Lonchura striata: one gene and its partners. The protein of the gene in region 3 interacts with the protein of the main gene of each other region in a pairwise test. Links are inferred from orthologs where the notes say so. Each region holds a gene or a part of one and is shown on either strand. Other genes may lie near its edges.

Region 1 (7,453 bases), on a different chromosome or scaffold from region 3:
CATTGGGGACAATTTTACATAGGCAAGGAGATTTCTCACTCCTGCCCAAGATGTTGCCTACCCTCACACCTCCTAACTGCACACCGGGAGAGGTCTTGTTTCAAGTTTCACACTGCTGTTGCAAACAATGCTTTGCTGAAAACTGTAAATACTTCATGATAAAAAGCATGGTTTTAGCTGTTCACTATCTTTCATCCAAAATTCCTGCATCTTGAGAGTAATTTACAAAATTACTAGCCCCCTTTTTAAGCTCTCATATGACAAGTAGGAAGTTAAAACTACAGGCGATTCCAGTGTTTCATAACTTATATGGCTCAATTAGTTATTTTTCTGGAAAACAAAAAAATTAACAGAGGTGTGGTCCTCAAGGTTTATGGCATCTTGAAAAGAGATACCTGATCACAGCCTTAATCTGACAATCACTGGATAAACAGCCATGATGTTACTATTTCCTTTATCTTATACCATGCCTCTAACAGAGGTTGCCACCTACAGACTATCTAAGTATAACTCCATCCAATTAATTATAAATTCAGTCTAGTTAACTCAAAACATGCTTAGGAGCAGCTTAATTGAGAAGGAACAGAAAATTTCTGGCAAGAGGACAATATCTAAAATGACCACAACAAACTTCAGTGATTACACATCAATACTGGTTTTGCTGCTGAAAGCTTAGTTTCATGCAGGAATGGGACTTGCTTAGCTCAGGTGCACAGGAAGCCAACCAATGCATCCATAAAAACTCTGCACCAAAGTCATTCCACTCACTTATGTTGCTACTCCGAATCAATACACTATCTGTGTTAAGCAGTTAAGTTAAATCATGTTAAAAATAACACTGAAGGAAGTTTGAGGAACATTTGTTTGGTTTTGTTGTTTTAATTGACCACAAGGGAACAAATGCAGTCCCTATAGTTATGCCTCACACATCAAGAAGGTTCTTGTCAAGCAAGGAAGATAAATATACAAGTGGGGGGAAAATAAGAATTCACATTTAAAATCTGAACTGGGGTTTTATTAAAACCTCACTTGTTCAGAAATATTTCTGTACACAAAGGCATGTACAAAAGGGTGGGCCCTTTATTTTGTACATAAAGGCATTTTAGCCATTTCTTTTATACCATATCTTATTCAAACACAGAAAGCACATTTTTAATAACTTAATTATGATATGCTAGGTGTTTTTTGGCATGAATTACATGAAACCTTATTTTGAAGTAAACACAGCCTGAAGACCTTCACAGAATAGCCAGGATTTCTCACTACCTGTAAGCCAAAATGCAGCTGGCACCCTCACCTCTCCAGCTCAGCCTTGCTCACTCCACAGCCCCTTGGAAAAATCTGACAACCTCCAGTACAATGCCAAGCAAGGGACCAGCACAGCCCAGAGAGAAACAAACTCTGCTTCCAGTACCCACACAACTATGACTGGGAGATGACTTTAGCACAGCAAGTTAGCAACGCGCCCATCAGTGCCATTAAAAAACACTGACTGCACCAATAGCTCCTCTGTTTTGCTAATCTAAACCGTCTGCCCATGCTCATTTCTCACTGGAGTTGGCTATTCATAGCTCATCTGGTTGTCCGAGTTGTACTAAACAACACTCTCAGTACTCCAGTTCCAAGCAACACTTCAAAAGAAATGAGCTTTGTTCTAAAGAATTTATCCTTAAAGAATTTTGCAGATGTCTAACAAAGCAGGGAATACTGGGATTTTTGACTCAACCAGGAACTTAAGTGCCAGCAGGCGACTCGAGTATTATTTCAACAGTGTTCACTTAGAAAAACTGAGAAATAAGGACATGCAATGCTTGTGGGAAACACAATTTCAAGGAAGCAAAATTTTCAAGCAGACACTGCTCGTTTGCAAACACTACATTTTACACAGGTTACAAAAACACCTAACACTGTGAGATGCAAAATTCATTAGATTACTTTTACAAGTAAAAAACAAAAAACTATGCTAAAGTGTAGTCTCAAAGTGAAAAAACCCAACCAATCAAAAAACCGAAGCACCAGCTTCATGAGCATTAATGTCCTTTGCAGCACGAAGTGCCGGTGAGATCCTTCAGAGCCATAAACATGGGAAAGGGAAGCCAACACACTGTTTCAAAAAGAGTAGTCCAGCACAGCTTATGTACTTAAGTAGCATGTTCAAATACTGACAGGTAACAAGGCTGTTCAGACCGAGTAAATAAAGTCTTATTTTTAAAGTATTTGCAACAATGATGCATTTAAACAAAACTTTTCAAGATTTAGTAAAGGCTTTCGACAAAAGTTAATTCAAGAAAAACAACGTCTGAACAACAAAACTTTGGCTAGTTTCCCCTTTAAGCACTTGACAAGCGTTATTCCCTCCGTGGAAGTAGGAAGCGCAGAGCCGAGCGCTGCGGGTGGGCGCAGCTGTCCCTGCCGGCTCCAGCACATCATGCGCTACCCAAGATCTAAGGGCGCGCTGCGACAGCGACGCGTTCGCTGCTGAGAGCGTTCCTCTGCGCCCGCGGACAGAGCGGACCGCGCACAACCGCAACAGCCGGGGCTGCTGCGGCTTTAAGAGCCCGGAGGGACCGAGCAGGGACCCGACCCGACCCACAGCCCCGGGAGAGGCGCGTCCCGGCCGCCCGTCACATGCAACCCTGATCCGCACGGCTGGGCGGAGCGGGCCGGCCGCCCCCCACCCCCACCCGCCGGGCCCGCCCCCGGCCCCTCCCCGGCGCCGCTCCCGCGCCCGCGCCCGCCCGCTTTGCCCGTGGAGCAGCCCCGCCATGGCCCCCGCCCCCCTTCGCTCCGCCGCGCCAGCTCCCCGGGCCCGTCCCCGCCCGCGCCGGGCCTGCCCGCAACCCGCGCCGCCCGTCCCCTCGCGGGGCCCACGCAGGAGCGCTCGGCGCGGCCGCGGAGCGCCCCTGCCCCGCGGGGCGGCCCCGGCACTCACCGGAGCGGGGCCGGCGCGGCGCAGCTCGGGCCCAAGCAGCGACGGCAAATGGCGCGCGCTCCTCCTTCTCCTCATGGACGGCGGCGCGACCCCGGCAGCACGCGGGGTTTCCCGGAACTGTTTCCAGGGACCGCTGCTTCGCCCACTCAGAAACCCGCGCTGCGGACGGGCAGCCGGCAGAGCCAATGAGATGCGAGAGGCGGGACGCGCCATTCCTCCGGGCGGCCAATGAGAGGGAGGCGCCGTAACCAATCGCGGGGCGCCTTCCACCCGGCGCGCCGGTAGGGCCGGACTGGGGGCATTTAAAGGGGCAGCGCCTCCCGCGGCCCGAACAAAGGGAGCGCGCGGGGCCGCTGCGCTCGGCTCCGCCCCGCGCGCAGGGCGGGACCGGGGCTGAGGGGGCGACACCGGGGCTGCCCCGGCGCTGCTCCCCGCGGTGCGCCCCGCGGTGCGCCCGGGACCCGGGGCTGCTCCCCGCGGTGCGCCCGGGACCCCGGGGCTGCTCCCCGCGGTGCGCCCGGGGCTGCGGCTGCCCCTGTTCCCCGCGGCGCGCCCGGGACCCCGGCGCGGCCCTGTCCGCCCCTGCGGCCTCTCGCTCTCTCCGAGCCTTTGCCTTGTGTGAGCCCCCGGACCGGGGCTGGCCGCGATGCCCTCCAGGCCCGAGGCGAGGAGGAGAAGCCATGCGGCTGCGGGAGCTACGGGTCAGGCTTATCTCAGGACACAGCTCTACAGCTGCTAATCTGTAATTAACCGGAGATTAAGTCTTACTTGCCTGCTCACCAGATTTTCTTGATCAGGCTCTTGATGAGTGCCGGCTGGACACAATAAAGAGATAAGTGAGGAAGACATCAGCCTGTTGGCACCGATGGTGTTGGGCCGGCTTCACGTGCTTGTCATGCTGTTGCATAACGTGGAAGTCAATGTGTGCTGGGTTGGGTCAGGCTGAGTCCCAGAGTGCTGTGTGAAACTAAACCCAGAGCACCTGCACGTGTTCCTACGGTCATGTCAACTGTGCGGCTGGAATCTGTGCAAACCACAGTCGCATCTGGTGCAGATGCAACTGTGCCTCTGGAATCTAACAAAAGTAACAGCTCATGTATTCTCAGAGAAGGATCTTCAGTACTTTCACCCCAAAATTACTTTCCTAAAGATGGCATGTGTCTGTGTGGTGACTATCGTATGTGTGATGTCCCACCACTGGTGATGTGGGACTTGTGGAAATGTGGTATGTTATGTCCAATGTTTCCAAGTCAGAAGCTGGAGACAGATTCTGGAGGTGTTCAGTCTGTCTTGCTGAACCTGTCTGGTGACAGACATGCTGCTTCTCTTGTAGAATTGGCAGTGCCTCAGTGACTTCCCTCTTGAGATCTGGCAGTAGAGCCAGCTTTTCAGTGCTGGGTATTGGGTCTACTGTGGTGTAGAGATGGAAAGAGGGGTAATCATTCATTGCCTTGTCCATCCCAGTTCACTGCAGTGTTTTTTTCTGGTAGTTAAGAATGATGGGTTAAAGGAGTTCTCACAATACAAATATTGAGAGGAATTGAGGGAACTTAACATTATTAGGGGTGCTTAAAAATGTCCTGTAAAGCTCTTAAATATTTTATAATATAGTAACTAGGAATGAATAATGAAGTATAATGACATATGTCCTGTCAGCTGGCAACTGAACATGATGAGGCTAATAAGCAAAATGTATCTTGAGAATAATTTCCGGAATATCTCTAGCAACTCCCACCCTAGGTTATGTGTGCTTTGCACTGCTTTGTTCTTTGGTCTCATGTTACACACTACAGCCTCAGCCCAAAATGATCTGACACCTCTAGCCAGGAAGAAGCTATAGCCTGCAGGTATTTGGGTTAGTGCCAGACGGCAAGCAATGCCTGAGAGGAGGCCCTAGATGCTCTGAGATGATGTAATTTAAATTTTGGATAGATTTCTCAATTTTAATCTTTGCTAGAAAATCCCAGAATGCGACTAGTTACAGCTCTCTGTGATGGGAGCTGAACAGGTACATGCAAGATCTGATTTAGTCCTGGGCCAAGACAAAATAAATTTGTTTTGGAACCAAGGAGAGGATTAATCTCAGCTGCTGAGAGCTGGGAGGGGAGGATGCCCTGACCATGCAGAGGGAGAGCCTGCCTGGCAAGGAGGCTGCCCTGCTCTGCTCCTTCAGCACCCCTTTGGGGACAGAGCAAAGTGAAGGGATCCAGCTTTTCCACTTACAACTTGTTGGCATTTTCCTGTGTTCAGTGGCCAGAGGTTGCTGAAGCTCAGCGTGTTCCCATCAGTCTGTCGCTTCCCTTCCACACTGGGCTGAAATTCCTGGGTGTTCCACATCAATGGCAAGATGACAGAGTTGAATCTGATGTAATTTGTAGGTGAGCTGTTAACTTATAGATGGAATATTACATTTCCTGATGCTCTAGACTTCTTACCCTGACCAATCATTAGTGTGCAGCATATAATGGATGATATATTACAGATGTGCCCACCTCCAGTAAATACCTTGTTCTCTGGAGCTCTCAGAGAACAGCTCCTACATGTTTGCTAAATCCCAGGCTTTCAGGGGGAGGTCTGTCTTAAAAATCTTCAAGCTTTATTTATCAGTAAGAAACTTTCTGAGCGCCCTCAGTGTGTTCCACGACCTCTACAACAGGGAAATGCTCAGAAAAATTTCTGCCTGCAGAGGCCATGCTACTGTTATTACCCTGTGCACATATGTTTATTTTGCCTCACACAGGCAGTGTAGTTGATTTTTAGGAAAACACACACATGTGCTTTGTCTTTGTCTTGCCTCTTTCCCTTTATCTGCTCTGGAGTGGGAAGGTTGAGTGTGACAAAAAGGCCCAAAGAGACCAGACTGGGCTACCTGGGTGCCTTGCATTAAAACCAGCTTGCTAAAGATCTTGGATCTCACGTTCCTTTCTTTTCATTTTTTTCCCCCACCCCTGAGCCAAGGATTATTTGCAATTTCCATCACATTTGTGTAGGATGCAGCAGAAACCAAGCAACTTGGGAAATAGCTTCTGTTTGCTGCAGCAAAAATCACCAGCTCAGTTTTAGCTGAAAATAAATTGCACTTTTCTTTCTCCTGCAGTAGCTAAGTAGTGCTGGGCTGTGATCTTTTGAAGCACAGTACAGACAGAGGATCTGGTGTTAAGGATAAGCATCTGCTCCAAGAAGTGAAACTCTTCATGGAGCTGCACTGTAGGTGGCTATGGGAAGTCAGGGTGTTGTGAATAGGGTCAATCCAACCCTGAAGAACTAGCAAATAATCAAGATGCACCAGTTCTGGCAGAGAAGAGAGAAGAATCCCTTCCTTTGTGTACCCCTGTGCCTGGGGGACAAAGCAGGGGACTAGTCATGCCATCAGCCATTCCAGAGCAATTGAGGAAACCCAGAACAATTAGTCCCTCTGTGGCCTGTGATGTGAGTTCAGCACTATCCTTGCAGCCTTACCTGTTTCAAACATCAGCTTTGGGTTTTGGTTGCTCTGAACCAGAATTAGATGGCAGATGTTTGTTGCTTTCCAAAAGAAAACTAAGCCCTGTCTTCCAGCTTGCACAGACTGAGGGGGAATCCTGGAAAGGTCTCTTGACAACTTGTGCCTTTTTAACTCCCCAGCAACCACCCAGTCTGAGGTATAATCTTATTTTACTCCCCGGCATTCCTGCTCTGGAATCCTGCAGCAAACAGTCTGTAGCTGGCATCTCTCCATCCACAGGCCCTGGAAGTGGTGAGTGAACCCAAACTGCTTGCTGCAAGTCATTTAAATGTTCATGTCATTTGCTGGTGGGCAAGAAAGCTCTGTGGTGTAGCAAGGTACTGACTTGCACACTGCAGCCCTGAGGGAATTCAGCAGTGGTACAAAGGTCCAAATCTCTGCATTCCCAGTCTCATAGCAAATCCTCCCCCTTACAGGTGCTTGGGCAGAGGCTCTGTGGCTGAGTTTACATGGCATAGTTAGTACACCAAAATGCAGAATAAAACCCAGAGATGTGAATTTAAACCCTCATCTGTTCCTTTCTGAATACAGAGTTGGCCTAATATTTATGTCAGCTCTCCACAGTTCACTGAAGCTGTTAGTGCCAAACTTCTCACTAGTGACTCTGCAACTTTTGGGGAAGCCAACCCTGGAAAAACATTCTGAAAAAGGCAAAAAAATGGATTTTTAAATAGTTATAACCCAAACCCAATAGTATATTGCTTTTCATGACTCAGTTCATCTCACCAGGTTCAGAGAGGTGGGGAGGGTGCTTGTAATTTGTTAATTAGCCCCAAATAAAAGGAACAAAGCCCACAGGAAGCTCTGCACACAGCCTTGGCAGAACTCACCACACCACAGACTGAGCATGGCCAGGCAAGGACACTCCATAGCCTCTCTTCCAGGGCTCATCACATGGGTGACATATTCATTGAAGAAGAGGGTTTAAGGACATTAGAGTGACAGTGGTGTCACTCACTCTGCAGATAAATGTGCCACTACCTGCAATATTCACCAGGTGAGGGCAGCCCCAAGGG
Region 2 (7,284 bases), on a different chromosome or scaffold from region 3:
CCCAAAAGAATCCCCAAAACACCCCAAAAACAGCCCCAAAAGTATCCCCAAAGCACCCCAAAAATAGCCCGAAAACACCCCAAATAGCCCCAAAAATATCCCCAAAAGAATCCCCAAAGCACCCCAAAAACAGCCCCAAAAATATCCCCAAAATATCCCCAAAACAGCCCCAAAACACCCCAAACAGCCCCAAAAACAGCCCCAAAAGTATCCCCAAAGCACCCCAAAAACAGCCCCAGAACACCCCAAAAACAGCCCCAAAAGTATCCCCAAAGCACCCCAAAACAGCCCCAAAACACCCCAAACAGCCCCAAAAACATCCCCAAAAATATCCCCGAAGGACCCCAAAAATAACCCAAAAACACCCCAAAAATATCCCCAAAGGACCCCAAACAGCCCCAAAAATATCCCCAAAAATATCCCCAAAAACAGCCCCAAAAATATCCCCAGAACAACCTAAAACAGCCCAAAAATATCCCCAAAAATATCCCCAAAAATATCCCCAAAAATATCCCCAAAAATATCCCCAAAACCAGCCCAAAAACAGCCCCAAAAGTATCCCCAGAACACCCTAAAACAGCCCAAAAATATCTCCAGAATGTCCCAAAAACTGCCCCAAAACATCCCAAAAAAAACCCCTAAAAAACTCCCAAAGGAAACCCCAGAAATCCCCAAAATATCCCCAAAAATTCCGGGTGGTTTTGGGGTATTTCAGGGCAATTTTTGGATACTTTGGGATTTATCGGGGTATTTTTGAGGTATTTTAGTTCATTTTTGGGAATATTTTGGGGACATTTCTGGATATTTTTGGGATATTTCGGGGTATTTTTTTGGGATATTTTAGGGTACGTTTGGGATATTTTTGGGATATTTTGGAGCACATTTAGGATATTTTTGGGATATTTTTGGGATATTTTGGGATATTTTAAGGATATTTTGGGGGATATTTTTGGGATATTTTGGGGCACATCTGGGATATTTTTGGGATATGTTTGGAATATTATAAGGATATTTGGAGGGATATTCTTGGGATATTTTGGGATATTTTAAGGATATTTGGGGGGATATTTTTGGGATATTTTGGGGCACATCTGGGATGTTTTAGGATATTTTGGGATATTTTTCAGATATTTTTGGGGTGATTTTGGTGTATTTTTGGTTCTCACCCTCGGGGATGAGCCCAGGGGATATTTTGGGATGCATTTGGGATATTTTGGAATATTTTGGGATACATTGGGCCATGTTTGGGATATTTTGGGATATTTTAGAATAGATTTGGGAGATTTTGGGATATTTTGGGATAAATTTGGGATATTTTAAGGTACATTTGGGATATTCCAGAGTACATTTGGGATATTTTAGGGTACATTTGGGATATTTTGGGATAAATTTGGGATATTTTAAGGTACATTTGGGATATTCCAGAGTACATTTGGGATATTTTGGGGCACATTTAGAATATTTTGGGGCACTTTTGGGATATTTTTGGAATATTTTGGGATACATTGGGCCATATTTGGGATATTTTGGGGTATTTTAGAATAGATTTGGGAGATTTTGGGATATTTTGGGATAGATTTGGGAGATTTTGGGATATTTTAAGGTACATTTGGGATATTCCAGAGTACATTTGGGATATTTTGGGGCACATTTAGGATATTTTGGGGCACTTTTGGGATATTTTTGGAATATTTTGGGATACATTGGGCCATGTTTGGGATATTTTGGGATATTTTAGGATAGATTTGGGAGACTTTGGGATATTTCGGGGTACCTTTGGGATATTTTGGGTATATTTGGGATATTTCGGGGTACATTTGGGATATTTTAGAATATTTTGGGATATGTTCGGGATATTTTAAGGATATTTTGGGATATGTTTGGGATATTTTAAGGATATTTTGGGTACATTTGGGATACTTTGGGGCACGTTTGGGATATTTTGGGGTACATTTGGGATACTTTGGGTACATTTGGGATATTTTGGGTACATTTGGGGTATTTTGGGATATTTTGGGTACATTTGGGATACTTTGGGTACATTTGGAATATTTTGGGTACATTTGGGATATTTTGGGGCACGTTTGGGATATTTTGGGTACATTTGGGATATTTTGGGGTACATTTCGGATACTTTGGGAATGTTTTCAGGATATTATGGGATGGCTCACCCTCGGAGATGGGCCCGAAGGAGCTGAAGTGCTGCTCCAGGCCCTGCTCGTCCGTGTCGTAGTTGAGGCCCCCCACGAACAACTTCCCCTCCTCCGCCGCCATGCGTGGGGGGGCGGGGCTGGCCGTGACGTCATAGGGCGGGGCCCGGCCCCCTGCGGTGACGCAATGACCTGCCCGCGGCGCGGCCGTGACGTCACCACCCCGCCCGGTGACGTCACGCCCCCCGTGACATCACCCACGCGCCCTCCAGTGACGTCACACCCCCCAATCTTGGGAGACCCCAACCCCGTGACGTCACCAGCTGCCCGCTGACGTCACGCGGCGCCCACCCGTGACGTCACGGCTCACGTGGTTCCCTTTTCCCCCCCCTCCCCCAGCCCGGCCACGTGCGCGCGCCCCCGGCAGCGCCGCTCCCGCCGCCCCCGCGCGCATGCGCAGAACCCCGCGCGGGCCTGAGGGCGGCGAGGCGGGAAAAGGAGAAGGGGAAGGGGAGGGGAGGGGGAGGGGAGGAGAGCGGGGGAGAGCCCCGGGGGCAGCAGCGAGCGCCGCCCTCATGGCGACAGGAGCCGCGAGAGCGGCGCGGGGAGTCGCGACAGGAGCGGCCGAGCCTCACCCGAGCCTCACCCGAGCCTCACCCGAGCCTCCCCCGAGCCTCACCCGAGCCTCACCCGAGCCTCACCCGACCCTCACCCGAGCCTCCCCCGAGCCTCCCCCGAGCCTCCCCCGAGCCTCCCCCGAGCCTCACCCGAGCCTCCCCCGAGCCTCCCCCGAGCCTCACCCGAGCCTCCCCCGAGCGGCGCCGGACGGGCCCGGACTGAGGCCGAGCGCGCCCCGCCCCGCCGCTTTTAACCGGCTCCGCCCCCCACGTGACCGCCCGCGCCGCCACGCCATTGGCTGCCCGCTCGGGCCGCGCCCCCTGTGGCGCGTGGAAGAGACCATTGAGGCGGGGGAGGGGGGGGGGAACGCGCGCGGGGGGTCCCGGGATAGTTGGGGGTTTTCGGGGGAGGGGTCCCGGGGATGTCCAGGGATATTCTGGGGTCCCGGGAGGGTCCCGGGACAGTTTTGGGGTCCCGGGACAGTTTTGGGGTCCCGGGGAGGGTCCCGGGGATATTTTGGGGTCCCGGGCCAGTTTTGGGGTCCCGGGGATATTTTGGGGTCCCGGGGAGGGTCCCGGGCCAGTTTTGGGGTGCCGGTGCCGCGGGGCTCGCACTCGCTCACGTCCCCGGGGGAGCCTTTAATGGTTCGGTCCCGTTACAGCCGAAACGCCGCGGCCCCGCCCCTTTCCCATGACGTCACAAGAGGGGGCGTGGCTTACAACGCCCGCGCCCCGAGGTGGGCGTGGCCAGAGAGACCACGCCCCCCGAAGAGAAGCCACGCCCCCACTGAGCGAGGCCACGCCCCCTCGGGCGGGGGAGGGGCGGCCCTGAGTGAGGGGGGGAGGGGGAGGAACCTCGGAGTAAAAGCAGAGTAAGGGGGGCGTGACCCCGGAGTAAAACCCCGCCCGGAGGAGCCAGAGCGGGGAGAGGCGTCCATCGGGGGCGGGCTGGGAGTAACCCCCGAGTAAACCGTGAGGAACCCCAGAGTAAACCGTGAGGAACCCCCGAGTAAACTGTGAGGAGCCGCAGAGTAAACTGTGAGAAACCCCCAAGCAAACCGTGAGGAACCCCCGAGTAAACTGTGAGGAGCCGCAAAGTAAACCGTGAGGAACCCCCGAGTAAACTGTGAGGTACCACCAAGTAAACCGTGAGGAACCCCCGAGCAAACCGTGAGGAACCGCAGAGCAAACTGTGAGGAACCGCAGAGTAAACTGTGAGGAACCCCAGAGTAAACTGTGAGGAAACACCGAGTAAACCATGAGGAACCCCCGAGCAAACCGTGAGGAACCGCAGAGCAAACTGTGAGGAACCGCAGAGTAGAACACCCACTTGGAGTAAAACGTGAGTAACTCTGGAGTGAAACCACCCTGGAGCAGAGCGTGAGTAACTCTGGAGCAGCGTCCGCCCCGCCGTGGGGCCGGGTGGTGTCGGAGTAAGTCATGAGTAACCTCAGAGTGCCGCGCCGAGCCCGGAGTCCGCAGTGAGTAACTCCTGAGTACGGAGCGCTCCCCTCCCGGCCGTGACCCCGAGCAGGGCCTGAGGAACCTCTGAGTAGCGGCGGCGCAGCGACCCTTGAGTAACGCCAAGATCCTGGGCAGGGCTGAGTAACCTCGGAGTAGGAGCCGAGTGTGAGGGCGAGTATCGGCGGAGTATCCGTGGAGCATCCTCGGAGGAGAACAGAGAGCGGAGGCCGAGTAACGCGGGAGCAGCGACTGAGCAGCCTCTGAGTAGCACGAGGAGGGGCTGAGTAGCGGCTGAGTAAAGCTGGAGCAGCGAAGGCGGCGGAGGCCCCACCCACGGGGCGTGGGGCCCGGGAAGGCCGGAGCAACCTCGGAGTAAGCGTCGAGCAGGGTAAGGCCACCACGGGGCGAGCGCGAGGAACCTGCGAGTACGGCCGGAGCAACCTGCGAGTACGGCCGGAGCAACCTGCAAGTACGGCGGGGCAGGCCGAGAGCGGTGGGACACCGGAGGAGAGCCGGGGCTGAGTAAGCTCTGAGTAAACTCCAAGTCAAGGCTGAGTAAACTCCAAGTCAAGGCTGAGTAAGCTCTGAGTAAGCTCCGAGCAGGGGCGTAGTAAGCGCCGAGCAAAGGCCAGGAGGATCGAAGCACCTGGAGGTGGGTGTGAGTAAGGAGTGAGTAGAGCCGGAGGAAGGGGGAGTGAGCACGGCTGGAGTACGGAGCCGCCGAAGCCCGGAGTACGTCTGGAGTAAGCTGTGAGCAGGGACTGAGGAGCTGCGGAGCCCGCGCTGACTGTGAGTAACCCCGGAGTAAAGCCCGGGCAGGAAGCGAGTCCTGAGCAGCCTCGGTGTAAAAGCTGAGGAGGCTCCGAGGAAGAACCGGGAGTAAGTCGGGAGTAGCCGAGAGCGAGGAGAGGCCGAGCAGCCGCGGAGTAAGGCTGGAGTAGGGCAGGGCTGGGCCGGAGCCGCCTCGGAGGAAAGTCGGAGTAACCCCGGAGTAAACCGGGCCCGGCCTGGCCGAGGAAGCTCCCGGGAGACGCCGCAGCCCCGAGCACGGCGGGAGTAAAGCAGGAGTAACCTCCGAGTAAGCTCCCCTCGCCCACCCCCCCAATATAGACTCTGCTTTACAATATTGCCTTGAAAAAATAAAACTCGACGTAAACCCGGAGGGGGGGGAACCCCCCAAAAAAATGGGGGGGGACCCCAAAAATGGGGAGACCCCAAAAATGGGGAGACCCCAAAATGGGGAGACCCCAATAATGGGGAGACCCAAAAATGGGGAAACCCCAAAAATGGGGAGACCCAAAATGGGGAAACCCCAAAAATGGGGAGACCCCAAAAATGGGGAGACCCCAAAATGGGGAAACCCCAAAAATGGGGAGACCCCAAAATGGGGAAACCCCAGAAATGGGGAGACCCCAAAAATGGGGGGACCCCAAAATGGGAGGGGACCCCAAAAATGGGGAGACCCCAAAATGGGGAGACCCCAACCCCCCCCAGAACGGGGGTCCCGCGTGAACCCCCCAAAATCCAGCAGCAATTCCTCAGGGGGGGATTTTTTGGGGGGGGGGTCACCAGTCCAAGGACCCCCCCCACACACCTCCCCTCCCCCCCCGCAGTTTTTGGGGTGTCCCCAAAGGTTCGGAGGATTTTGGGGTGACCCCAGGCCGGATTTTGGGGTCCTGGGGTGCAGCTGCGATCCCGGGGCTGTGGGGAGAGGAAAGAGTTAAAAGGGGACCCCAAAATGATCAAATCCCCCAACTCCACCCCAAAATTTATCCCTCCCTTTTTTTGGGGTCCCTCCCATGAATTTTGGGGGGGTCCGAACCCCGAATTTCAGGGGGGGGTTCCCCGGGTTTGGGGGATCCCAATTCCAGGGGGTTCTCCCGGGTTTTTATCCTTTTAATTTTGGGATTTTTGGGGCGTCAGCTCATTTTTGGGGTTTTGGGGGTCATCCTCCCAATTTTGGGGGGCTAATCACGAATTTTAGGGGGAGGTGATCCCGGATTTTGGGAGTTGATCCCAAATTTTGGGGGCTGATCCCAAATTTTGGGGGGGGGCCTCACCTGCTCAACGTCAGAACTCGGTGTCGAGCACCCGGAAGGCGGAAGAACCTGCAGGGAAAAAAGGGGTCAGGAAACCCTCCAAAAAAACCCCAAAAAAACCACAAAATCACCTCAAAAAACCCCAAAACCACCCCAAAAAAAACCCAAAATCACACAGAAAAATCACCAAAACCACCTCAAAAAAACCCCAAAATCACACTGAAAAATCACCAAAACCACCTCAAAAAAACCCAAAAATCGCCCCAGAAAAAAACAGAAAAATCACCCAAAAGAACCACACCAAAACCACCTCCAAAATAGCCCAAAAGCACCTCAAAAAAACCCCAAAATCACCCCCAAAAAAACCCCAAAATCACCCAAAAAAACTCCCCCAAAAACCCCCAAAATCACCCAGAAAAATCCCCCAGAATCACCCCAAAAAACCCCCCAAATCACCCAGAAAAATCACCAAATCCACATCCAAAAAAACCCCAAAAAACCCAAAATCACCCCCAAAAGACCCTAAAATCACCACACTAAAAAACCTCAGGGTTCAACATATGGATTTGGGTTTTATGGGTTTTTTTGGGATTCAGGGGTTTTTGGGGTTCAGAGGATTTTGGGATTTGGGATTTTGGGGCTCAGGGATCTTGGGGCTCAGGATTTTTGGGGCTCAGAGATTTTAGGGTTCGGATTTTGGGGTTTGCATTCTGAGGCTCAGGGATTTTGGGGCTCAGGATTTTTGAGGTTCAGGGGTTTTTGGGGTTTGGATTTTGGGATTTGGGATTTCGGGGCTCAGGGTTTTTGGGGTTCAGATTTTGGGATTTCGGGGCTCAGGGATTTTGGGGTTCAGATTTTGGGATTTGGGATTTCGGGGCTCAGGGATTTTGGGGTTCAGATTTTGGGATTTGGGATTTCCGGGCTCAGGGATTTTGGGGCTCAGGATTTTTGGGGCTCAGGGATTTTTGAGGTTCAGAGATTTTTGAAGTTCAGATTTTGGGGTTCGGGTTTTGG
Region 3 (7,855 bases):
ATACCTGGAACTCACACTGAACTCTTCTAGGGTTTTAGGTTCACTGAGTTTATGAAACTATTTAATGTCTTGAAAGGAAATAAGTAAGTAATGATATATTTTTTTAAGGGAAGCTGATTTATTTGATTTTTATAGACTAATAACTAATCTGTAAAGAATGTGTCAATTTAAGAAGCTGTACGAGTGAAGAGACCAAAACCCTGTGGAAATCAGTGACTTACCGCAGATATCAACTATGTCTGTGTTGGACCATATATGGCTGAGTCTTCTGCTGTGCCTGGGATAGTCTGAAAATGATCTGCTGATGCACATTTGCCTTCTGGATTATCCAGCAAGCTGTTGGCCGTGTGGTAGTCTACAAGGCTGGCCTCTACAAGGAGAAGGTGTAGCCACTTCCACCTGGACCCACCATTGCCCAAAGCCAGTGCATCAGCACTCAGTACATCATCTGAGTGCTGTTACAAGGAAACAACTTTTGTGCATGTTCAGTTGTCCCATGATCAAACCATGAAATCACCAGGTACAAGAACTGGTATCCATAAGACAGCATGAAGAGATCAGATGGAGCCTGGGTATAGACTGTATTCAAAGAAGGAATTAAATAAACTATAGTAAAGAATGTGGGGGCAATTCCTTCTTTTTTTGCACATGCACTGCTGCCTCTTTGTTAGATATATTGTCTATTATAATTCTACTTTCAGAGACGGAGATGGTTACTTAGATTATAGAAGAAAGTCCCTATTTTTTTTCTTTTTTAATGCTCATCAGCATTTGGTTCAGGAACCAGATAACCCTTACTCATAGCTAAAGCAAATGAACCAGTAAAGAAATTTCAAAGCAAATTGAATTTCTGAAATACAAAACTCTTGACTATTCTGATTTTTTTGATGTATGTGGTCCTCTGTCTACTCCCACACACATAGTTAACTATTCATTTAAATTATTGTATCAACTTTATTGCGAGGTGTCAGAAGGGCAGCTCATTCTAATTGAGCTCACACTGACCATTCATTCTACTGCAAATTCTTAAAAGATTTAATAATTTTTGAATAAGCAAATGCAAGGTTTGGGGTTTTTCTTCAATTGCTTGGATCCACTGCCTTTTGACTTCAGTTCTACATGATAATACAATGTATTTGGATGGCACTGGCAAGAATACATACTGATTTTTACCTGTTCTGTCTTTGAATAAACTGCAATCTGTTATGCTGCGATCCATTTCATTATCAGACTTAGCATTAAAAAATATAGTACAGATAAACTTCAATTTGTCTTGACACTTCAAACTAAAGAGTTGTAAAATGTGTCTTTGGTTTTTAGTAGCGCTGTGAAAAAAATTGATCTCCAACTAGCAATGAAGTCATGTTTGATGTCATTAGAAGTCTATATTTCCTGTCTGACAGATTTTAATGCCTTTTTTTATTTTTAATGAGGTATAAGGTGAAATTCAGAAAGGTATCTCAGTGGCTTTGCAGCCTAAGTATCACTGAAAGTCAATTTAACTTTATAAGTTTTCACAAATGAACTTACACAGAACTTGTTTCTGTCTAGTTTGCTGTAAAAATATGTGTAATGAAACCTGCTGTCTACCTCTTTGACCAGAAAAAAAAGAGTTTAATGAATTTAGCACTTCCTATTGTTTAAAAAATTTAAAGGTGTGTAAGTCAAAGCTTCCTGTGATCTAAGTAGGTTAAGTACAATTAAACAGACTAAAGTAGCATTATTCCTATAACACCCCAGATGGAAAACACCCAAAATTCATTTTCCGTATACATGCCCATATGGTATGTCTTGAAAGCTACCAGACCAGGATTACTTCTGGGGGGATGGCTTACATTCAACTTGAAGTTGCTTTAGGAGAACACACCTATCATTGGCCTGCTGTCTTTCTGAACTGTGGAGCACCTGCCTGAATTGTTCTGGAAAACAGAAGTGCAGAAATACAATCTGATGACACAGGCAAGCTTTTGAGCAAGACAGACCTGAGCTGTGTTGCAAACACCACTATTTCTTCCTACGCTGTTAAATGGGAAAGGAGAACTATTCATGCAGTAAATTGAATCAGGGTAAATTATTAATAAACTATCTGAGTTCTGCGCTTTTCTTTGTTTTATTTGTTTGTTTTTTAAAGAAGGACTTATGTCTTCCCTTTATCCCCACACAAAATTTGTAGTAAAAGCTGATTGACTATTAAACCTTTCAATTCTGCTATCAGTCTTCTCTGCTTCCTCAGTGTTTTATAAGTTTGCTGAAACCAACTATTTTCCTGCTCCTATTCTTTCTCAGCAAGGAGATTTGTTCTCAGGTATTTTATTCCTCCCTTCTAGAAATACTACAGAATAATAAGGCATCGGTCACCGACATTCTCTACATATTTTTGTAAACACGTGCTGTCCCTCAATTATTTGCATGCCGAGTGGAAATTGCGTAAACGTTGCCTGCACATATCTTAGAATTTTGAAAACATCGCACATCAAATCTTTATATAATGTCTGTACAACACATTCAAAACCTTGTGGATGCCATTATAAAGATTTTACTTTGATTTTTATCTTTTTCATTCCTTCTTCCTCTGCCAACTCCCCCCAACCAAAACAAAACCACAAAGAAAAAGACCCCAAAATCTAAATTCCTCTACAGCAACAAAAATACTTGAACAGTACTAGGCCATTCACAAATGTATTATTGCAACAACTGTCTATTTCATTAGAATAAATACTAAGATAGTAGTATTAGTGGTACATACTAAGAATGTGACATAGGGGTTGAGCACAAAATGTTGTATGGTGCCATAGACTGCTTGTTCTTGAGGTCCCACAAATGGAATTTTAATGAGTTGAGATGACTTAGACATATTTGTTTACTTTCGAAATCAAAACACATTCCTGTATGGTCTGTTGGGGCAAAATCCTGAATAAATATAACCTAAAGTAAATGTATACTTAAAGCTAAACCCTAATTAAAATAAATTTTATTTACCCAAGCTGTAGACACTTTAATTGCATAATAGTTCTAATTCTGTCAGGCGTGGCCGTGGGAGCTGCAGCACGGCATTCCTCGACAGAGATCGCCCTTTCCACAGGACCCCCGGGCCCCGGCTGCGCCTCTCCAGCTGCGCACAGCAGGCACGGGCAGACATTTTCGGCGCGGTCTGTGAGCGGCGGCGCCCGGCCGCTGATGCTCATCATACCCTCAGGGGAGAAGCTGCCTGGCAGCTCCAGCACGGCCACGCCGCCGATGCGGCACCGCTTTAGCGAGGCGTGTCCCCGGACCGCGGAGGGCCGAGAAGCCCGGGGAGCGCGGCGGAGCTCGGGGGAGGCACCGCCGGGGAGGGAAGGGAGAGAGAGCCGGGCAGAGCCGCTGCCTCCCGGCTCCAGCACCGCGGACAGCGCCCGGCGGGCGGGCGGGCGGCTCACGGCGGGCACGGAGCCGCGGCCCCGCGCAGGGACACGGCCACTGCCAGCACATCACCGGCGTGCACGGGCAGGGCGGCCCACGCAGCGACACCGGCGGCACAGGCACGCTGAGACACGCGTGGACAAACGAGCACAGGGGCACAGACACCACCGCCAGGCTCACAGAAAGCACCGCAGCACGGCCTCTCCCGCGCAGCCCGCTCTCTCTCACACACAGTCTCACACAGGCGCGCACAGTTTCACACACACACACACACACGCAATTTCACGCACGCACACACGGTTTCATACACGCGCGCACAGCTTCACACAAGTGCACGCCCACACACACACACAGTTTCACGCACACACGGAGTTTCACACAAACACACACAGTTTCACACACAAACACGGACACGTGCCCGCTCTCCCACAGGCGCAGCACCGGCACAGCCGCACACGGTCACGCGTGCGCGCACCGGCACCACGGACGCCACTCACGGACACGCACTCGCGCTGGCACGCAGAAACTGGCACACACAGCTGCACGCAGACAGACACACAGACAGACACAGCACACACACAGTGACAGACGCACAGACTGTCCTGGTTCCTGCCTGGACAGAGTTAATTTTGGCCGTAGCCGGGAGGGGACATGGCCAGGACCCAGAGGCTGTTCCGCTATCACCTCAGGTCATTGCCGGTGCTGGACTTAGGGGGGAAAGAAGTCTCTTCCTTAAAAAAGGGGTTCCTTCTGGTTCAGTAAGCGCGGGGTGGGTGCGGCGAGGTAACCTCGATTCTAATCATTTTGCATGAGAATCACTTATCTCTCTCGAACACTTTTGTTTTTAATATAATTGCTGTTACTGCTCATTTTCTTATCTCATTGCTGTTTCCAGTAAATTGTTCTTATTCCAACCCGTGATCTTTACCTTCAATTCCTCCAATCCTCCTCTCTAGCCTGCCACGGGGAATGGGGAAAGGGTGGGGAGAGCGAGCTGCAGCGTGGTTTTAGTGGAAGCGGTAAATTAGGTAATACCAGTCCTAAACCACAACACAGACACAGACACACGCAGGCGCACACACCTCCGCGGACGCCCGCCGGCCGCGGGCCCCGCCTGGCGACAGCCAATGGCACGGCGAGTCTGCCCCCGGCGCGGCGGAGCCGCCAATGGGAGCGGCGGGGGCGGGGCCCGGCTGGCTCCGCCTCCCTACTTAAGGCCGCGGGTGGCCGCGGGTCGCTCAGTGGCGGGAGGAGGAGGCGGGGGGGCGAAGGCGCGCGAGCAGCGGCGCGCGGCGACCCGCGCACGTGCCCGCCCCCGCGCGGCGCGAGGGGAAGGCGGAGGCGGGGCCGGGGCAGCGCCCGCCGCGCGAGGGGCGGCGGCACCCGCGGGGCGGCCCCGGCGCGGCCAGCGGCGAGCGGGCGGCCGAGGGCGCGGAGCGGCGAGCCCGGCATCCCGCGCAGCCCGCCCGGCGTGCCCGCGGCGATGGAGCAGGACAAGTACCTGCCCGAGCTGATGGCCGAGAAGGACAGCCTGGATCCCTGCTTTGTTCACGCGATGCGCCTCCTGGAAGACGGTGAGGCTCCGCGCCGCGCTCCCCCGGCCGGGGCGCTCCTCGGGGTGGGCTTGGCGGCCCCGGCCGACTGACAGGGAGCGAACTCGGGTGTCCGGGCCGGTGGGCGGCGGAGCGGCCCGCGGCGGGACCCGGTCGCGCGTGGGGTCGGGGCGGCGGCGGTTCGGGGCTCGGGCGCCCGGGGCCGCCCCGGAGCCTTGCCGAGGGACCCGTCCGGCAGCAGCCGCCGGCGGCCGCAGCGAGCGCCCCGCTGCCCGCCGCCCGCGCTCGCTCCCCGCCGCCCGCGCTCGCTCCCCGCCGTGCGCCGGCGCTGCCGCGGCTGGGTCGCCTGTGCGGGAGGCGCTCCCCTGGTTCCCGGGCTCACTTACACAAAGACAGATGCTGGCGTCTCATTGCATTCGTTATATCCTGTTTTCCACGCTGAAGTAATAAGGTTTATATGGTGATACTATCATGCCGTTAATGCGGCGCTGTTTTTAGTCGACTGCGCGATGTCAGACATTGATTTGATATGGCTTATCAATTTCATGACAGTTTCATCCAGGACATGATGATTTCCTCTTGGTTTTGTGCGGAGATCAGAATACACTGGTTATAACATTTGGATACTCATTGTAGCTCGCCCTCCTTTCCTTGCTTTAGTTGGAGTAGAGTTTTAGTTGGACCTCGCCTAAAGGTTCTTTAAAAAGTTTATCATTTAGTCTCTCTTGTAATAATTGCTCAGTATAGCGGTTGCGTGAAGACCTCGTGGTATGGAATTTTAACTTTTGCCAAAAGTGTAATCCTTTAAGTTCCTCTTATACATGTTTTTCTTCTTAGATATTTAATAGTCTTTATAAAATCCCTGTTAAACTTGGAACCTAATGTTGAAAAGAAGTAGTAAAGAATGATGCATAAATCAAGACAACCTATTAAGTTTTTAAAAGAGATTAAAGCAAAGAAATATATGGTCAGGCCCCTGAGAGTCACACATTCAAATAAACTCAGAGGTGGCAAATAATTTCCCAAGTTCTGTTTATGACCTAAAGAAAATCATAACTAATTCAGATTTACCATGCTAAGCAGTAAGTGTTTTTCCTCTGTCAGCAGTTTTTATATTGTCTTTCCTTAATGTATGTTTTATTGATTGTGAATGAAGATACTGAGTCCAGGTTTTGTTGGAGTGCTTCTGTTTGATAGCTTTAAAATTCATACTGAATTTCAGTATGAATACAGACCCATTTAGTACCGTTTTGTCATAGCTGTCTTGCTGCTAAAGAGGCAGCCATGCTACTTTTTATAGTTGTTTTTCTTATAATCATACCATAAACTAAGTCCTTATTTCTTAGAGGAATGTATTTTTTGAACCTTGCAGTTCGGTCTTTTCCCAGAGGGGGGAAGTATCCTCTGAGAGTGTGTGTGTGAGTGTCTGGGAAAGGAGGAAAATGCAGGAAGGACAAAACCGAAAGTAGGCAAATAAAAGTAAAAGGAAAATTGTTTTTTCTAGGTATCAAGTTCATGTAGAAGTTGCATTTTGAGCAACTGTGAGATTGAATAAATGAACGATTTTCTCATTCCTTCTTGGCCTAAGTAGGACTATGCATTATTTCACTGGATTTTTTAAAAGATGAAGGTGAGTTGTCTGAGAGAATGCTAATGTCAGATTCACACCAGGTACCTGGCATTATCCTTCAAAACACCATCTGTCAAGCTTTCTAGACATTTGTTTTAGAGTCGAACATATGACGACTGTTAAAACACTTAACCATAGTAAGAATGTTACTACTTAAGAAAATTAAAATTAATGCACTGGTTGCTGCTGGGCATAAATAGAAAGGGCAGAATTTTCTTTTTTGAGTGCCAGAAGAAAATGGGATCCTGGTGCAAGGATCTCTGTAGTAGTGAGTAATTTCTAGGTTATATTAACGATGAAATATTTTTTCCAGACTCTGGATTTCTGTTCTTTAGAATGTAACGTGCAATCAGCTACATCCCTAACGATACCAGCCAGGTGTTCTTTTTATGGTGTCCTAAGCATTTTTGATTGCCAGCACACTTTGTATCAAATACATAAGTGTAGATTTGCTTTGGAGCTCAGAGCCTCAAGCATTCAGTCTGACTTGAAAGTGCTGTGTTGTTTCATATTGGCTGCTAAAACCCAAGGTTGAGAACAGTTGTGTTCCTGTGAGAAACCGCAGAAGGGCACACAAGCAATAAGTATTCCAGAAAAATGCTTCTCATTTGCAAGAGTGGATTTACTTGTAAAGATAAGACTACCCATTTTCCCCCAATAATTTCTTTTGTTTGTTTGAATCTGTTGCGTGGTCTTTCTTTGTTTGTGTGTTTTGGTGTACTTAACCAATATTTACACCAACATATTTCTTATGTTTTCAATATGTGGGTCTGTGTCCTTCAGGTTGACCTGTTTCAGATGCATACTTCAATCAGTAGCTATTTATCCCTCACCATTAAGTGATGACTAGAAATCACTTATTTTAGTCCTTGCCTGGGTCTGGTATAATCCCCAGAAAAGGGACATTTCCTTTGGCAGACTATTTACATACATGCCAAACAACAGAAAGAAAGGTAAGGTCCTAATGAAGGTAGAAGGTACTAGTGCTATTTAAATACAAAGTGTGGAGACAAAACCTGATTTCTTTAAAAATCCCTGAGGGAATCTGTTGTGGATTCTAACACTGAATGGCCAATTGAGTGCCTTAATCAGAAGATACTTATTTCCCATGGGTCATAGCCCGTTTCATGTAGAAGTAGATCCTACATGACTGTTGCACTATTGGAAATGGAAAAGTCATTGGTAAGTCATCTACTAGGAGGACTTGTGAGTGGCTAATGATATTTGCCTCACCCTAAGTTTTTTCAAACTTTTGCAAAATGCATTGAACATA
Region 4 (7,159 bases), on a different chromosome or scaffold from region 3:
CCTTTGCCCTTCACCTCATCCCATTGCAGGGGGAAGGTGAGTGGGAGTTGGGGCACAGTGGCTGCACAGTGGGGTTAACTCACAGAAGAAACACATCAGATGCCACATCCATACCCCATGGAGAGAGGCATGAGAGGACAATGCCCTGCATTGCAATGCAGGTTTTGTTCCCAGTAGGCTGGGATGGGTTTTGGATAGGTCAGGCAAAAAGCCTGGGTCCATTCAATGTCCTAGCAGGTGAAAGATTCTTCCCTGGTCAGCCTGGAGACAGACTGTGGTGGATATACCTTGGTGAGCAGCTGCAGTCACAGGGCTCCAGCCCATTTTGGGCTTCTGCTCAATGCTGTGTTGCTCTCACTGAATGTTATGTTATCCCCGCTGAATTGGCACATGAATTAGTATGAGTTCATTGGTATATGAATTAGTACATGAGTTTATAAAGTTTATAAACTTTAACTTTTTATAAACGCCCTCCATATTGTGTAGACATTTCAGAACACCCCTGCCTGAACAATCAGGTGTGGGCAGAACACATAGAGAGGAAAGCACAGAGACCATGGCTCACATTTGAATTATTTATTGGGTTTTGCAGATGACCAAGGCCCTGCAGCAGGGATTTAAAGAGCTGCCCAGGGAGGGGTGATGTCCCAGAGCCTGGCAGCAGGGCTGGGCTGTGGATGGACCTCCCTCACCCTCTGTTGAGGTCATTTATCTGTACTTCTCCGTCAGAACAGAGGAAACACTGGACAGGAACTTGTCCCACGCCGCATGAACTTCTGGGGTGAAGTCACGGGGATAGTGGGCAGCCACGGAGCACAGGATACAGTGGGAAAGCAGCTGTAAGGGAAAGCAGCAGGAAATCCATCCCAGTGAGTACCAGGTATCAGTGTAAGGGTCTGCAGTGAACCTTGGGCCCAGTGTGCTCAGGGATGACAAGCACATGTCCCAACCAGGCGGTGCTGCTGCCTGAGATGGGAGTGAAGAAGTGCAGTTGTCTTTTGTTTAGGGCCAAAGGCACTGCTTGATCCCACTCCCTCTTGTATGTGCCCCTTCCTCAAGTGCAACAAAGTGGGACTGTTTATAATTTATTAAAACTTTGTTCCAGACAGGTGATACAGCTTGATGTATGAGGCAGATTAATTTTGAATTACAGCAAAACCAGTAGAGATTTGAGTCTGTCGAACACAAACCACAGGAGTTCTTTGCATGCATTGGGCCAGAACTTCCATTAAAAGACCCAATGTCAGGTTGAAAATCATATGAGAAACCGACTGTGCAGCACAGTCAGGGATCAAGGTGCCATTAGAGACCTATGGTCTCTAATTTTGTGATGGCACTTTCCACCCCTGAAAGTCTCTGTGCTCACTCACCTTGAAGTTCACGGGGTCCACCCTGAGGATGTAAGCATGCAGCTCGCTGAGCTTGGCCAAAGCCCTTCGGATGTCATCAATGTTCTTCACAGCTTCCCCAATGGCACTCATGACCTTGGAGCCATGGCCACGGAGCTGAGCTGAGCCTTGGCTCAGGTCGAAGTGAGGGAAGTAGGTTTTTGTCTGGGGGTAGCTCAAGAAAAGCCTGGAGGAGGACATGATGAAGAGGGTCAGCATTAGAAATGGTATGAGGTGGTAAAACCTCAGAACAAGTGCAGTGTAAACCTTCTGCAGCACATGCAGATTAGACAGCAGGTTTATCTGTATGTACTAGAGAAGAATTAAGTGTTAAAAATTATTTAAAACTTAGTGTAGCCTTGGGTTTGCTTTTGTTTGGTTTTGTTTTTACTAAATAAAAGCCCCATCTTGTCACCAAATTTCCTGTATTATATTATAACCAAGTTTCCTCAACCTTCAAACAAAAATTAACAAACCAGAATTGATATTAATGGTACTCAGAATCCTGAAAGGAGGATCATAATACTATATATTGAGCTGTAAATAGCATTTAAGTCAGTTTGAATAACATAAGAATTTCTGATAATTTCCAGAACCTTTTATACCAGCTTGTTTAATTGGTATGGACTTTGAATTACTGTGCCATGCTTCATGCAGGGGGTCCAGCTGTCTTGTTTCCTAACAGTTTGTTACTTAACAACTGGAACAATGAAACCTGAGCATCCAGTGAATTTAGTGGACAGCTATTCTCTAAATGCATAAAAACTGCAAGAGAAAGTGCATCACTTGTACCATAAACCACTTAAAGTTTATTCCCTAACAGGGATAATGGTGTTCAGGACACTGAGTATGAATGACTTTGTATTCCTCACCAGTGCTTCTGGCTATGAATTCTTCTGTATGGCTATAAGAAAAAAAACCAACCCTATTAAATAGTTTAAAAAAGCATGCTTTACTGCCAGATTGTGAAGCATTTAGTAGCACAGCTATAACTCCTGGAGATTACATATCAAACAGCACAACTCTTCATCAAGTCTCCCTGGTCCCAGCCTGCTCTCACTCACCCAAGTTCTACATGAGAGGCATCCCAAAAGCAAAGCCCTCTTTGGAGGCCTGCTGGGGCCTTACCTCTCCAGTGATTCTGCCCCGATGGCATCAGCCTGGGTGGCCACCTTGGCCCAGACGGTGACCACGGCGGCTTTCTCGGCTTGGGTCAGCGTCATCGTGCAGGAGGTGCTGGCTCTGTCCCCTTGCAGTGGCAGCTCAGAGCAGGTTTGGACTCACCACCTGGCAGCCCTGGTTATAAAGGGGAAGGGGGGAGCAGAGCTTGGTGCCTGTCCACACTCATTGGTCACTCCAGAGGCCCGCTGAGGAGTGGGGACACTTATCTCCTGAGGAGCAATGGCTACACTGGCAAGGGTCAGCACACTGTCCTCCTTGCCTGCTGGCCTTATCAGCTTCTTGCTTCTTAACCTAACAGCTGTGTGGTCCAAAGAAATTGTCTGGACACGTATTGATACATGAACAGAGAGATAATGCTGCAAAAGTCCAGTGGTGAAGCATTAGGACACATGTCTAAGCTGAGGAGCGTGTGGGCTGCAGCGTGCTAAGGAGCCTGGAGAGGAATCTGCATTTCCTCCCTTGGTTCACAGATGTGAACACAAGACTCTGAGCCTTTCTGACCCAGCCACTTCCAGTATATGTGGCTGCACCATGTGCAATATTTCACATAAAATGGTTTGTAGGTAGTGGTAGGGACGGGCTGGGAGATCTGTAGTGCAGTTCAGAGGAGAAATGAAATTCTGATTTTTGAAGAGTAAGTGCAGATTCTGCCATTTGCTTCAGGACTTCACTTTGCCAGCTTCTTGCAAAGAATTAGGGACTCACAATTGCTGCCTATGACAGCACTGGTAGTAAGGATTACTTTGGATACAGGAATACAGAGTTTGTGAAATTGAGTATGGTACTAGAAAAATGTGTGTGTGAGAGAAACCCCAGTCAGATTTCTTTATTTATAATCCTCAGACTGCACATCTTTGATTTCTAACTGTGTGATCTTACTGTTAGTTGTTCCCTGCACTGTAAAATAGCTCTCAGCACTCCTGTTAGTGCTGGCTGTGTTGTGCTGTGCTGAACATGCACAAGAGCTCCTGGTCCTACAGCAGATGGCTGGTACCATCAGCGTATGGGCCCTGGGTGGGTGAAGGACCAAACAAGCAAAATGGAGACCAGCACAGGTCTGTAATCACAGGTAAATGGGCAAAGTGTCAAAGAAATACCCTACTGGAGATGGTTGCTGCAGAACCTCTGGGAGTAACTATCCTGCCAGCAGATAAAGCAGAGGTAAATCTCTTTGCCACACTGATAAACTTCAGCAGCCTCAGCCATCACCACTGAGAGCTGGCAGCTTGCACAGAGCCCTGGCTGGTACAGTCAGAGGGGTCAGATAACATTCTCTGCCCAAGCAGCCCTGCACTTGCAGAAGGACTCTGAGCCACCCCTTATACTCTGCACTGGGCTCTAATTTAAGCTTCTCTGCATGCCATCTGTCACACAAACTAGAATAAACCTTGGGCTTTCCCAAAAGGCAGGCACAAAGCACTTGGGCCTCTGAGTATGCAGGCCTGGCTGGGTTTGAGGATCTTGAATTATCATCCCCTCTGTGGAGGCCAACAACTCCTCTGGGATTTAATTTCAGATTGTGTTCAGTGCCACAGCTCCTCCTCAGTCCTTCTGACCAAGGGCTGGGTGGCTGGGTAATTCACTCACTTTAAGAGGGGATATGAAAGTAGACTCACCTGAGACACAAGGAGGACAATTGTTTTACCACAGGGAATATTATCAGAGGGCTATTTGTATACCTTCCCTTTGATACTGCCATACATATCCCCTGAAAACCCAGAGCTCACTCTGGCTACACTGATGCAGAGCAGTGCAGTCTCCATTTCAAAGTACCACTGACAACACAGGCAGAGCCAGGGCACAGACAACATGGTATTCAATTTATACAACTTAAATGGGTGGCAGTACCAAGAAAGGTGGTATTCATCATCCCTTGCTACACACATTTCCAAAACTTGCAGTTTTCCCATAGAAAATTTACTTCCAAAATATAGATGCTGTTGTGAAATATCCATTTACATAATGTTTTTGTCTCCTCCCCAAAGTACTGCCTCTTACATGTCGTGTTGCATGGCAGTGCTCCAAGCTCTCCTCAGTGAGAGTGCTTTTAATCAGGGGTTACTCCACCAAGCTGTGACCCAGATAAACACAGGGATAAGGCACAGACCATCAGGACTCCTTCCTCTCCTGTGTAACCTGGGCAGGATTAAGGTTTGTGAGTGCACAGAGTGATGTCTGCACAGGAGGATTCATCATCACTGAAATCATTATGGAATTTGAAACCCTTTTCTGAGAGTTACTCCTGCACTATCTCAAAAACCAGAGCAGCCAAAAGGGGACAGTAGCTTGTTAGAAGGAGCTCATTGCTCACTCAGGATCAGAGCTGTGCTGGGGATTGTTGTGGAAACTCCTCAGGAACAAATCCGGTGGGAGAAGTCTGATCCTCAGCACAACATGACATGGAAAATGGCTCGGCTTTGCATGAACCTTTCAGCCAAATTCCTCATTACAGTGTTGCAGCTACCCATGGGGTAGTGAGACAAGGGGGTCCTGGCCTCAGGAATGCAAAGAACTGGACAGCCTGATTGCTGCTGCTTCTGTGTCACAGGACCAGTAGAGAAGATGTCCTCTGAGAAGCCCCCCAACCCTGTCTTCCTCCCTTACTGCTGCTTCTCATGAAGATCCACAGCTCCACTGCAGAATGTCCACCCTTGGGCATGTCATGAATCTGTCAGAGAATCACCAAAGGGGATTTTTTTTTTTTTAATGGATGTAGGTATTTTTAAATCTAAAATCTGTTCCAAAAGCCAGCTACCAGAGTTTCTCATTTTAAAGCAGAAGCAAGCAACAGACCTGTTAGCTAATTGTAAAAGTGGGATTCTCATTTCCAACAGCCCTCATTGTAAATCCAATTGAATGGCATCACTGTGAGATCAAGGACAACTTTCCCCATGGGCCTGTATTATCCACAGGAATTGCCTTCCCCTCAAGGAGAATGCTGTGAATAAGGGAGGACATATATCTGCTCTAACTCTGAAATATTTGAGGCATATTGCATTTTGAAAGTCTGGAAAGTGGAGTCTAAATCCTGGCTTTACTCTTTAATTTCCTACCAGCGCTTGAAGAACTTGCAATCATTGCTTTAAATGACAAGGCTAACTACAACTAAATGTGCAGGAGCTGGAAATGACAGATAGGGCTATAATTCATTATTTAAGTAAGTAAAATTATATTTTGAAGCTGGCACACTGAAATTTTAACATGACAGCCCAGTGCTGGTGTACAAGGAGTGCTCTGCTGTGATAACACGACTGGTCTTTAATCACCCCAGGACAACTCTCTCCCCTCAGCATCGCCTTCTCTTGCTCAATTGTTATCACTGGCCCTGTGCAGAATGGCCCTGCAGATTACACCCTGCTGGGGCTGCTCATCTCCCTCTTCAGCCACCCACCTCTGTCCTGTGTCCCTGCAGGGACTGCAGAGCAAAACCCAGAGTGGGGATATCTCAGAGTGTCCAAGCATCTAAGGAATGCAATGAAATACAGAAGAATTTGCAGAAAACCCCAGGGCATCCTCAAATATAATTGCTGATAACTTCTGATCTCGATTAAACACAAAAAAATATGAAGGCACCAAGACTGCTGCCAGGGGAGTAATGTCACCCTTCCTAATCCAGAGGCAGGAGTAAAAGCACAGGAACCATGAGGCAGGGTGCAGCAGAGCTGTGAAGTGAACATGAGCAACAAGCCCAAGCCAGCCTTTCCATGAGCATGGGGAGCCCACAGCTCTGACTTCCACAGCTGCCCCCCTGCAGCCACCCTGGTGTCACAGAGACCTTAAGGTTGGAAAAGCCCTCTGCAATCATTCATCTGCAATATTGACACGCTGGATTTGGCAGCTCTGATGGAAATAATCTACTGCCAGATGGTGGAAGAATGGAGAGGGACTGGAAGGGAAGACAGAGGGATTCTCCACCAGTGAATTCACCCTCAGTGGCACCCAGGCTGGCACAGGGAGGGTGGAGATGCACATGAAGCTCCTGCATCCCATCTTTTGCCCATGGCAAACCCAGGAGAGGTCACCAGTTCCTCTCCCACTAGGGAAAAAGCATCCATGCCTCATTCCAATCCACAACAAATTACCTTTGTTCTCCCAATTAATTTAGCCTTCTGCTCAGTGTGTGGCATGTGTGTACTTAGCTCCAGAAAGGCAGAAATGTTATTTAAAAAAACTGTTTGAAATGTCCCAAAGAGGCATTGCAGCAGGCTTTACCCAGTGTTCTTTATCTCCATTCCCACTCTAATTACCAACGAGCCTCCTTGTTTAATACTGTTTTATGGAGCTCTTCTTTTCTTCCCTGTTGCTATTAGAAAGTTGCTGATGTGGAAAAAAGAGCAGGGAAAGTGTAATGAGAAGAGTCATGGCTCACTTAGAAAAATTCCTATTCACACACACACTCTAAGGTGTTAGGTTAAACCAGCACTGTTAAGCTGACCACTAAACCATATCCCAAAATGCCACATCCACATTTTTTTTTTAATACTTCCAGGGATTGTGATTCCACCACTGCCCTGGTCAGTTCCAGTGCCTGTCCACCCTTTCCATGAGGATGATAACCCGGGGACGGAGGGGCTGGGGGTCTGGGCATG

What was found.
Region 1: the proteins of KHDRBS2 (region 3) and HNRNPR interact in binary tests that used the Homo sapiens proteins (3 or more experiments, as listed by UniProt). The link is inferred for Lonchura striata from reciprocal best matches to the Homo sapiens genes KHDRBS2 and HNRNPR.
Region 2: the proteins of KHDRBS2 (region 3) and RNA-binding protein 3-like interact in binary tests that used the Homo sapiens proteins (3 or more experiments, as listed by UniProt). The link is inferred for Lonchura striata from reciprocal best matches to the Homo sapiens genes KHDRBS2 and RBM3.
Region 4: the proteins of KHDRBS2 (region 3) and hemoglobin subunit pi interact in binary tests that used the Homo sapiens proteins (3 or more experiments, as listed by UniProt). The two-hybrid records come from large-scale screens. The link is inferred for Lonchura striata from reciprocal best matches to the Homo sapiens genes KHDRBS2 and HBZ.

Annotation. Positions count from the first base shown.
Region 1 is NC_134628.1:5,309,154-5,316,606, forward strand, and holds the start of HNRNPR (heterogeneous nuclear ribonucleoprotein R), read right to left. Parts: upstream 3,077-7,453; 5' UTR 3,008-3,076; coding exon 2,933-3,007; intron 1-2,932. UniProt on the Homo sapiens protein: Component of ribonucleosomes, which are complexes of at least 20 other different heterogeneous nuclear ribonucleoproteins (hnRNP). hnRNP play an important role in processing of precursor mRNA in the nucleus.
Region 2 is NC_134638.1:985,610-992,893, reverse strand, and holds the start of RNA-binding protein 3-like, read right to left. Parts: upstream 3,018-7,284; 5' UTR 2,951-3,017; intron 2,343-2,950; 5' UTR 2,275-2,342; coding exon 2,172-2,274; intron 1-2,171. UniProt on the Homo sapiens protein: Cold-inducible mRNA binding protein that enhances global protein synthesis at both physiological and mild hypothermic temperatures. Reduces the relative abundance of microRNAs, when overexpressed.
Region 3 is NC_134605.1:88,486,048-88,493,902, forward strand, and holds the start of KHDRBS2 (KH domain-containing, RNA-binding, signal transduction-associated protein 2), read left to right. Parts: upstream 1-4,813; 5' UTR 4,814-4,882; coding exon 4,883-4,973; intron 4,974-7,855. UniProt on the Homo sapiens protein: RNA-binding protein that plays a role in the regulation of alternative splicing and influences mRNA splice site selection and exon inclusion. Binds both poly(A) and poly(U) homopolymers. Phosphorylation by PTK6 inhibits its RNA-binding ability.
Region 4 is NC_134618.1:4,397,647-4,404,805, forward strand, and holds hemoglobin subunit pi, read right to left. Parts: upstream 2,612-7,159; coding exon 2,517-2,611; intron 1,576-2,516; coding exon 1,371-1,575; intron 838-1,370; coding exon 709-837; 3' UTR 569-708; downstream 1-568. UniProt on the Homo sapiens protein: The zeta chain is an alpha-type chain of mammalian embryonic hemoglobin.